Caenorhabditis elegans: one gene and its partner. The protein of the gene in region 1 interacts with the protein of each later gene in a pairwise test. Each region holds a gene or a part of one and is shown on either strand. Other genes may lie near its edges.

What was found.
Region 2: the proteins of rmh-1 (region 1) and top-3A interact in a two-hybrid assay, tested with the Caenorhabditis elegans proteins (one study listed by BioGRID).

What each region holds. Positions count from the first base shown.
Region 1 is NC_003279.8:5,571,435-5,577,365, forward strand, and holds rmh-1 (RecQ-mediated genome instability protein 1 homolog), read left to right. Parts: upstream 1-1,779; 5' UTR 1,780-1,808; coding exon 1,809-2,069; intron 2,070-2,115; coding exon 2,116-2,570; intron 2,571-2,649; coding exon 2,650-2,785; intron 2,786-2,851; coding exon 2,852-3,362; intron 3,363-3,459; coding exon 3,460-3,969; intron 3,970-4,042; coding exon 4,043-4,189; intron 4,190-4,240; coding exon 4,241-4,530; intron 4,531-4,588; coding exon 4,589-4,723; intron 4,724-4,781; coding exon 4,782-4,841; intron 4,842-4,885; coding exon 4,886-4,981; intron 4,982-5,023; coding exon 5,024-5,203; 3' UTR 5,204-5,315; downstream 5,316-5,931. Other genes in the region: cey-3 (CSD domain-containing protein), read right to left, coding at 522-891, 938-1,248, 1,367-1,483; klp-15 (Kinesin motor domain-containing protein), read right to left, coding at 5,759-5,931.
Region 2 is NC_003281.10:11,957,113-11,962,062, forward strand, and holds the start of top-3A (DNA topoisomerase 3), read right to left. Parts: upstream 3,069-4,950; 5' UTR 3,057-3,068; coding exon 2,913-3,056; intron 1,599-2,912; coding exon 1,438-1,598; intron 449-1,437; coding exon 320-448; intron 242-319; coding exon 60-241; intron 1-59. Other genes in the region: Y56A3A.28 (C2H2-type domain-containing protein), read right to left, coding at 4,841-4,950. UniProt on the Caenorhabditis elegans protein: Component of the BTR double Holliday Junction dissolution complex, which is involved in homologous recombination during meiotic double strand break in the germline.

The DNA of each region.
Region 1 (5,931 bases):
TCAAAAACTGCAATAATTTTCTGACCAAAATTATTACTATCGATCAAAACTCAACGGGTATAATAAGAAACCGACGCTGAAGACTACTGATAATTGATTTTATTTCTGTTTTTGAAAGTTATCGCAACGACAAATTTCACACTATCAGATGGTTGGAGAAAACTCAAATTATTTTATTGCTTATCGCGGCAAATTTATACCTTTAGCAAACATCGAATGGAAATACCTACGCTAGTTTTTCCAAAGCTAATTCTGAAATTTCCGTTTTCAAAAACCTAACTAGATGAAGCTCGAGAACCGTTTAGAAGTAAGAATCGATACCAAACAAATTAGATCGTAATGCGGGTGATGAAGAGAATTATTTACTTTGCCGACTTTCGGTTTATTATAAGAACACTTCTCTTTACAGGCTGACACAAAATAACAGATTTGGGGACATAAAAACATGCAGGAAACGGGGATCTAGAATTCTGTGCTATATAAATAAGTACAAAAGATTCAGGAACACAAAGCAATGAAATTTAGATCTGAGCATCAATCAACTGAGCACCAAGGCCAGCATCGTCGAGAGCAGAATCGCAACGATCGATCTTGGAGAGTCCAGCTTCCTCAGAGATGATCTTGGTGCAGGATTTCGAGTCCGGAGAAGCAGTTTCGGAAGAGGTCCCGAGAGATTCAGTAGTAGCAGAAGAGTCGGCAGCATCACCTGCTCCCTTCTGGTCCTTCTGTTTGCGGTTTTTATTCTTACGCTGCTTTCTTTGCTTCTTTTTCTCCATTGCTACTGCCGGAGCCTCGACAAGCTTTTCAGTTTCCTTTGAATCAAAATCCTCTCCAACAACGATTTTCGGTTTACGATTCTTACGGAAGCGAGAGAGAAGCTGATGGCGATATCTAAAGTAACTAGTTTTCCAACTTTACTTGTCAATCAATAACTCACTTCGATCCAGAAACATTCACCCCGGCTGGTCCGGTGACATTTGCAGCCTCAGGTCCATTCTTACCATCGACCAGATCGAAGAGCACTTCCTCCTCATCGGCAAGTGTCCGAAGGTAAAATTTCTCAGTGTCCGATTTGGAAATAGCTGTTTGGTGAACGAAGACATCCTTCTCTCCATCACTACGGGAAATGAACCCATAGCGACGAAGTACAGAGTACCACTTCACCTTTCCTTGAAGTCCAGCGGTAAGAACAATCTTCGCCTTCTGCTCCTCCTCCCAAATGCGTATGCGCTCGGCAGCTGGCAGACGCTAAAAATCATAAAATTGTAAATGTTGTACATTAGCACGTCATGCATCATAAAGAAAACGAACTACTTCAAAACAGTCAATGGTAGTTCCCAAAGAAGTGAGTTTTAAAAAAACTTACATGCTTGCTTGTATCATCCTTGCTTGGCGATCTTTTCTTGCCGATGGAGAGATCGTCGAGTTTCTTTTCGATGACTTGCTCATCTACTTCGACAGCAGTATTCGCAGTGTCCGACATTTTCGCCGTAGTTGCTCTTAGCACTTGAGGTACTGAAAAACAAGACTACATTGAGTGACTGAAGCTTCAAGGGTCGACGGCGTGCAGAAGAAAAGAAAAAAGTCGAAAAATGACAGATTAAGTGATAAACGCTCGCGGGCCTGTGGTCCCGTACGACCGTAACCAGCGTACCTGCACATCAAACATTTGGCGGCGCTTCAAGGTTTTAAACGCATTTCTTACATTTTTTTGTTAACAAATTTGTTTTCTTATTCAATGTTACACACATTTTCATTATTTTTTGTTGGTATTTGCAGAGCGAACGCATATAAAAACTACAAAATATATGAAAGAAACTGAACTTGATCGTCTTTTCTCTTGGCTTGCTAGGAAACATTACCCATTCAAGAGAGAATGGCTAAGAATATGCGTCCAGTATATCGAAGGATCACTCGGACAAAGAATTAAAACTGTTGATGTGAAGCAGATTGGTGAACTTGTCATACAACAGTTTTTGAATTCAAAAATATCCGAAGCTTTGGATCCCACCATGAAAATCCCAACGAGCGCAGTAAAAGTTGTCATTGTTAAAAGAATGATTTTCCAGGTTATTAGTTTGAAGATCTGCCGAAAATCAACAGGAATATTTTTAGGTTATTTCCTCCACGAATATATCAACATCCTTGTACGAGCAATTGTCAGAATGTACTCGACACAACGAAGATTTGGCTTGGTTTCATGGCGGATCCAAAGCTGATCACGAAGAAGAAAATCGCGACAAAGAAAAAGATGTGGCCTCTGATCGCATGAATCATACGCAGACGAAAAATGCAATTAAGAAACGAGGAATGCTGAAAATTGAGCTCACCGATGGTGTGAATACTTTGAAAGCAATCGAGTTAGACGAAGTATTTGATGAAAAAATTATGCTACCCGGTGCAAAGATTATTCTCACAGGAAAAGTTAAATGTCGTCGTGGAAATCTTCTACTGGATAAATCTAATTGTGCTTTTCTGGGCGGCCGAGTGGAATCACTAAGTTTTGATAAAGTGGCACAATTATCAAATGCATTGAAGGTTGACTTAGACGCGGAGAAGAAACGAAGAAAGTAAGTTATCACTTAGATACATTAGAAATCAGACATCATCTTAGCTTGATTTAATTCTTCTAGTAAATTCAATTTTCAGAGCATCTCTGGAAAACGCTGCTGCTTCTGTATCACGAAATAACAAGAAACAAATAGACAAGAAAAATCTTTCCCTTAATCAATCATCGCTTTCTCCATTTTTAGTCAAAACAAGTCGAATAACGGGAGAGGTCACTGTAAGTATTTAATCTAGTTCCACTACACTTCTTTCAATGGCTTAAAAACAGTTCTGAAAATTACAGGTTCCGGTGAAACAGTCTTTGGTGCCTACTGCGTCACGTATTCTACCATCTTCCGTAGCAGTTATTCCCAGCATTCAAATAGAGAAACCAACAGATCCTATTGAAAATTGGGATTTTTCAATCGAAGAAGTTCCGCAAGAACCAACTCCAGAACCACCAAGTCATCATGTACGGGGCCTTGTTGAACATTATCCATTGCGTTCAAAACCACAAGATCCGCTCCCACCACCTCCAACGAAGCGTTTATCTTCATTAATAATTGATAAAAATTCGATTTCAAAAGTGTCCCAAAACATTTCAAATCAGGTCGAGAAAGGTCTACTGCAAAACAAGACGATCGAAGATTGGACTTTCAATTCGACAAATTCCTTTGACAAATCTAAAAAAGTTATGTCTATTGATAACTCTAAAGATCAAAAAATGAAAATCAAGGAACTTCCTGGACAACTAATACGACCGACTCCAATCGAAAAACCTATAATCGGTGATCCTAGAATGAACAGTGAGAAACGTAAGTTAAAACAGAATAAAATATAAAAACCTTTCAGCTATAATATGATCCTCTTAACAACAACTATACCACAAAAGTTTCAGTAAAAGTTTTCCAGGCAAAGATGTTTCCGTATGGGTTTGGGAAGATCGGAAAGGATCAGAAGAGGAAGACATTGCGGCGAAAAGGATCAAAAAGATAGATTCAGTTATGGAGATTCCATTATGTTTTGTGAAGGAAACAACTCGCCAAGCGAATCGAAGTAATGAAGAGAGTCGTCATAAATTAAATACATTTGCGCAAACAATTCATGGTCCTCGTAGCAAGATTGACGATTTTCGAGTCAAATCGAACAATGTTCCCGTTTTCAAACAAATTACAGATCACTTTATAACTGTGAAAAGTAATCCTAATTCATTCACATCTTCTACGCGTCATACACCACCTCAAATGCCGAAAGTAGTCGATTTTGGGAATTTTGAAGATTATGATGAAGATTATGAAGATGAAGTTCTGCCAACATCTTCGTTCCGAGATCAATTAAAACAAAGAAAAAGTCTAGATAATCATGGAGAAGATGTAGTCTTAGAAGAAGAAATGGATCATGTAGATCACGATGAATCTATAAGTGAGTTGTTTTTTAATTTATCGGAAAATTTAACTGATAATCTCGTGATATTCAAAAAAATATTTATATTCAGTTGAATGTACAATGGATCATGAGGGACGTTTGGAATGCGAACGATGGGGATTGCGTGGAAGGGAATCGAATATTATTGAGGATGATAAACGGAATGTTTACAATGGATATAATATGAATAATAATATAGAACGTGACAATAAATACGGTAAGCTATAACTGTCTTAATCAATCATCTGACATTTTGGAAAAATTTCAGATTCTTCAATGAATGGAATGCCCCAGCCAAATCTCCAGCATCCTCTGTCAATTCTTCCTCCTCCACCAGTCATTCCTCCTTCACAGAATTGGAATTATACAGGATACTACCAAGCTCCGCCACTTAGGAATGTAATAAAAAGCGAGACGGTGGATTCTGTTGTACCGGAGGACCAGAAAATGGTTGGAGCTCAGGGAAAGAAGAGACCAAATGTAAGACAAGAAAATGATAATATGAAAAACAAACAATCGGCGAATGTTCAAGTTTATAGGACACCTTTTGCTGAAAGGGTTTGTTTTTTTTTTCAGAAAAATCAAAATTATTTTCAAAAAAAGAGGTTTATTCTAGTTGAACAGTGGCGATTCATCTTCAAAATTGTCGCCCCAATTATTCCAACGAATGGCTGATCTGCAAATCGTACCATTCGGCGATGCACTATTTAATCGAAAATTCTGGATGATGTCAAAAATTGTAGTCATTATGGTAATAGCTGATATTCTGTACGAAGTAACAAAAATTCTAACATTTTCTCACATTTCAGCCAAGTATCTGCAGTCAAATACACGAGTTACAATCTGATGGCATCGATTGGCTACTACAGGTATATTGTCCAAATAATTCATTTCTAAATACTTTATTTTCCAGATACGAGTAACAGATACATCAGTAAAAAATGTTATCTGCCGCGTTTCCACGAGCCTTCTAAATCGAATTTTTGGATTTGATGTTCAACAGTGCAAGGTTACAAAATTAATGTGCTATTCGTAAACCTTTTTTTTTCAGAATTTATTCAACAAAAATCAAGTCGAGGAGCTACGTGCGAAGAAATGCGAAGCCGAACGTAAACTTCTTGGATTCAAACGTCTTGATCTTCTTTTATGGGTTGAGGTTTCACCAGAGCGTAACCAAATTCCGCTCATTCTTGACGTGAAAACGATTTCTGATGCTCTCAATATTTTGTAATTATTTCTATTGCTTGCTACCTGAATTCACGTGTACCACAATATAGTCATGTATTATTTAATTGTTCTTGTTTTTTTGTTGTTTCCAAATACAATACAACTGTTTTAAGCTTTTTCTTTCGTTAAAATTTCTTTAAAACAGAAATGTAACAAAAAACATAAATTTAAACAAACTGTATGGAAAACTGTACAGTTTTCGATACAACGAGAGTTTGAAACTACAGTACTCTTTAAAGGGTCATGCCATTTTCGAATTCATCAAAAGTTCGTCGGGTCGAGACATACATACTACAGTAAGAAATGTAATATTCTCATAAAGCTCAAAACAATGTATTTATAACCCAATCAACAGCATTTAGACCGGACTATATTTTTCCTATCGGGATCTCCCTTTGTTTTGAAACAGACGATTAAAACTCAAAAAACGCAAAGTAAAATTGAAATTCGTTCATTTTGTTAATGATCGAAATATTTAGGTTACATCAGTATAAAAGGTTTGCATAAGGCAATAAAAATAACGTTATTTTACATGAAATGTTAGAATAGAATTATATGTCTAGTTCATAGACATCTGGGACACGTCACCCAAGAGAGTCCGTTGCTGCACGGCCGATCCGATGTTAGTACTGCGCATCTTTGAGGCGAATTCGATGCTTCTCTTGGACTCTGTCGCTTGCTCGTTGCATGGATTGAGATTGACCACAACCATAGTCTTCGAGTTGCCACGTC
Region 2 (4,950 bases), on another chromosome or scaffold:
TTTTTCCAAACTTTTTTTTCAAAAATTATTTTTTTTTGCAAATTTCCCAATTTCTCTACCATTTTGCCCCAGTAAATCTCTGAATCGATTCCTTAAATGCAACGTCTGTAGTCTTGTAAAAGCGGATCCAATTCGAAGATCCAATTCACTTCGACAATCAACTGCGGCAACGGTCTTCTCGTCGAGTCGGATGAGATTCCGAGCTGCTCGTGTGATGGCTGCTTTTGTGATTTCGGAGAATCTATAATAAAATTTGGGAATTTTATATTTTGCGCGTCAAATATGTTGTGTAGTACGCATTCTCAGAGTTTTGTGTTACCTCGCTCTGAAAATATCCAGCCGCCGGTTGCTATCTCTGCAAACTTTAACAATTTCAGCGCCAATTGCTTCACCTTCTCGATCGCAATCTGTCCAGACTACCAGGATATCGTGTCGTTGGGCTTGTTCTCTGAAAAGTTCCAAAAATTTCTATAAAGAACCTATATGCTTGCCTGCCTACACGCCTACATCATGCCCATCTACATCGATACCTTAAGCTTACTATTCGTTTGCCAGAACGCCCACGGTATGCTTGCCTACCTCCGCGTCTACACGCCTACTCTATGCTTGCCTGCCTACGCACTTATCTCATACCTACCTACGCGCCTACTCAATGCTTGCCTACCTAGCCACCTACTTCATGTCTACCTACAAAAATACCTTAAGCTTCCTATACGTTCGCCTTTAAGCCCACCGTATGCTTGCCTGCCTACGCGCCTTCCTCATGCCTACCTACGCGCCTGCGCGCCTACTCAATGTTTGCCTGCCTAGATGCCTACCTACATGTATACCTTCAGGTATACCTTAAGCTTCCTATAAGTTTGCCTGCACGCCTACTATATGCTTGCCTGCCTAGACGCCTACATCATGCCTACCTACGCGCCTACACCATGCCTACCTACGCACCTACACGCCTACTCTATGCCTGCCTGCCTAGACGCCTATCTACATGTATAAATTTTCGCCTACACGCCTACTTCATGCCTACCTACGCACCTACACGCCTAATCTATGACTGCCTACGCGCCTACTCCACGCTTGCCTACACGCCTACTTCATGCCTACCTACGCGCCTACACGCCTACTCCACGCTTGCCTGCCTAGACGCCTACATCATGCCCACCTACATCAATACCTTAATCTTAGTATACGTTCGCCTATACGCCCACCGTATGCTTGCCTACCTACGCGCCTACTCGCCTACTCCACGCTTACCTGCCTACACGCCTACCTCCTGCCTACCTACGCGCCTTTTCGCCAACCTACAAGTAATAGATACATTTCTCATGCCTACCTACCTGCCTACAAGCTCACCTTATGGCTACCTACGCGCCTACGCGCCAACAAAAGACTGCCTACTTTATGCCTGCCTTCCCCCCCCCCCCCGTAAAATTTAACCTTAATGTCTGCTCGATGAGCTTCATCTCTGGTGTGACAACATGCCGAACCGGAGCTCGAAACAACTCGACCATCGACGCCGTTTGCCAATTCGACATATTCTCGTGAAATTGGAAATTCATCATATGTCCCGAAACACTTGTCACCGAAATTGCGGTTTGCTGCAAAAATAGGATTTTTCTTGCTTAGAAATACTCAAACTAGTCTCGAATTCCGTATAAATCACAAAAAAACCGAAAAAAAATAGCGAAAAATTGAAAAATCCAACTTTTTGAACCTGCGACCAATCAGCGCGATTCGCTCCGCCCACTTTCCAACCAATCAGATGGAGTGGGCGGGGTTTGGTGGATTTTTCTTTATATAAGACTATTTTTGGATATTTCAAACACCTCCTAACCCCGCCCACTACCCCTGATTGGTTGAAAAGTGGGCGGAGCGAATCGCTGATTGGTCGCGGTTTTTATTTTCCGAAAATTGATAAAAATAGTGATTTTTTTGCTTAGAAATACTCAAAATAGTCTTAAATTCCGTATAAATCACAAAAAAACCGAAAAAAATAGCGAAAAATTGAAAAATCCAACTTTTTGAACCTGCGACCAATCAGCGCGATTCGCTCCGCCCACTTTCCAACCAATCAGATGGAGTGGGCGGGGTTTGGTGGATTTTTCTTTATATAAGACTATTTTTGGATATTTCAAACACCTCCTAACCCCGCCCACTACCCCTGATTGGTTGAAAAGTGGGCGGAGCGAATCGCTGATTGGTCGCGGTTTTTATTTTCCGAAAATTGATAAAAATAGTGATTTTTTGCTTAGAAATACTCAAACTAGTCTCGAATTCCGTATAAATCACAAAAAAACCGAAAAAAAATAGCGAAAAATTTAAAAATCCAACTTTTTGAACCTGCGACCAATCAGCGCGATTCGCTCCGCCCACTTTCCAACCAATCAGATGGAGTGGGCGGGGTTTGGTGGATTTTTCTTTATATAAGACTATTTTTGGATATTTCAAACACCTCCTAACCCCGCCCACTACCCCTGATTGGTTGAAAAGTGGGCGGAGCGAATCGCTGATTGGTCGCGGTTTTTATTTTCCGAAAATTGATAAAAATAGTGATTTTTTGCTTAGAAATACTCAAACTAGTCTCGAATTCCGTATAAATCACAAAAAAACCGAAAAAAAATAGCGAAAAATTTAAAAATCCAACTTTTTGAACCTGCGACCAATCAGCGCGATTCGCTCCGCCCACTTTCCAACCAACCAGATGGAGTGGGCGGCGTTTGGTGAATTAAGACTATTATTTTGGGTATTTCAAACACCTCCTAACCCCGCCCACTTCACCTGATTGGTTGAAAAGTGGGCGGAGCAAATCGCTGATTGGTCGCAGTTCTTATTTACCGAAAATTGATTAAATAGTGATTTTTTGCGGATTTTAGACTATTTTGGGTATTTCAGAGCCAAATGACTGCTGGTACCTGTCCAAAAAGCTCGGTATTCAACGTGTAAATCTTGTTAAACTTGCTCCGCCCCTCTCGTCGATTCGCTGTTCCATTTGATAAAATCGCAGCGACTCCCTTTGCCACGTCATTCTTCTCGGCCACAAATAAGGCTCTTTTCATTGGGAATTTGAGCTTAAAATTATGTTTTTTTTTCAGTTTTAAAAAATGAGAGAGAGCGTTGAGAGCGTTCACAAAAAGTTAAAAAAATTTTTTTTTTTCAACATTTCAAAAAAAAAATTTTTTATTGAAAATTTGAGATTTTTTCCAAAAATGTTTTATTAAGTATTTCGACATTACAAAACACTTTCAGAAAAAAACTTTTTTTTTTCTGAAAGTATTAATTAATTTTTTAAAACGTTTTGTGCTCATTTGCAAATGATATTTTGTGTATTTCCCCTATTTGTAAAAATGCTCTTCCAAAAAAATTTAAAAAAATTTTTTTTTGAAAAATAATCAAAAAAATTTCAAAATTTTTTGAGAAAATTTAAAATATTTTTAATTTTGTTGGATTTGTTAATATGGTTATTTTTAGGTTTGGAAGTGGTTTAAATTTTAGGAAAAAAATTAACTTTTGAACAACAAAAAATATTAAAAAAAAAAACATTTCGAAAAAAATTCAAAAAAAAATTCCAATAAAAAAATTATTTTTTTTTAAAATTTCTAATGATTGTATAATAATTTCTTCAAAATTTGATTCGAAAAAAATCACAATTTTTTCTCCTAAAAAATTTCAAAAAAAAAATTTTTTTCCAAAAATCTTTTTAAAAAATCAAATAAATCTGGTGTAAAGACCTGAAACAAAAACTTGCAAAACATATAAAAATTATTTTTCATAAAAATTGAAATTTATTCACAATTGCGGTAAAAAAAGCAGAGAATTATCATTAAAAAATGACATTTGTATGAGGTGATTACGGTGAAATGATATTACATGTACGAGAGGGGTGGGGGTTTTCAGGGAAAAATGTGAACAATTCGAAAAAAAAAAATAGAATGTGATTACTTTTGCATGTCGGCTCAAGTAGGTCGATTGCACCATGTTTTTTCCAATATTTTTCTTCATTGGTTTAGTCGAAATTGCCTGAAAACACCGAATTTCAGAATGAAACTTCTTGGAAAATTCTCAAAAAAAAAAGTTATGGCGGCTCAAAAATGACTTAGTTGAAATTTGAAATTTGAGCGGCTGGAAACTAACTTTTTTGAAATCACCGTCTAATTTTGGGAAACATTTTGGAAATTTAACTTTAAATTTGGCAATTTACCAAATACTTGAAAGTTTTTCAAAAAAATTGGCAATTGAGCAAAAAAAAAACATTGACTGAAAAGTTATGCAATTTTCTAAAAATTGGTATATTTTCAATTGTTTTTGCCAATTTTTCAAAAAAAAAACATTGACTGAAAAATTGGGCATTTTATCAAAAAATTGGCATATTTTCAATTTTTGTGGCAATTTTTCAACAAAAAAAAACTGGCGATATTCCAAAAAATGTGGCAAATTACCACAAAATTTGGCTATTCACTTGATTCTTTGACTTGGAAATTTTCGAAATTTACCAAAACTTCTACTAAAAATTTTGCGAATTGATAACCATTTAAATGTACCTAAATCGAGTTGAAAACGCAAGATAATTAACTTGTATAGCCAAAATTAGACGGTGATTTTTCAAAAAAGTTAGTTTCCAAGACGGTCAAATTTCAAATTTTAACTAATTTAGGGTCATTTTTTGAACCGTCATAACTTTTTTTTTGAGAAGTTTTCAAAAAGTTTCACTATGAAATTCGTTGTTTTCAGACAGTTTCGAGTCTAATAACAAAGTATGGAAAATCATGTGAATAATCTGAAAATAATAATGATTTCAGAAAAAATATTTTTTAAAAAATCAAATGGTGCAATGTGACATTTTTCATTCATAAACTTCTTCTTCTTCATCATCTTCGTCTCCAATTGGAGCTTCCTCTATAATCTCTTCCTCTTCTTCTACATAAGGCTCATTTGAAGTGGATGCGGCGGCAG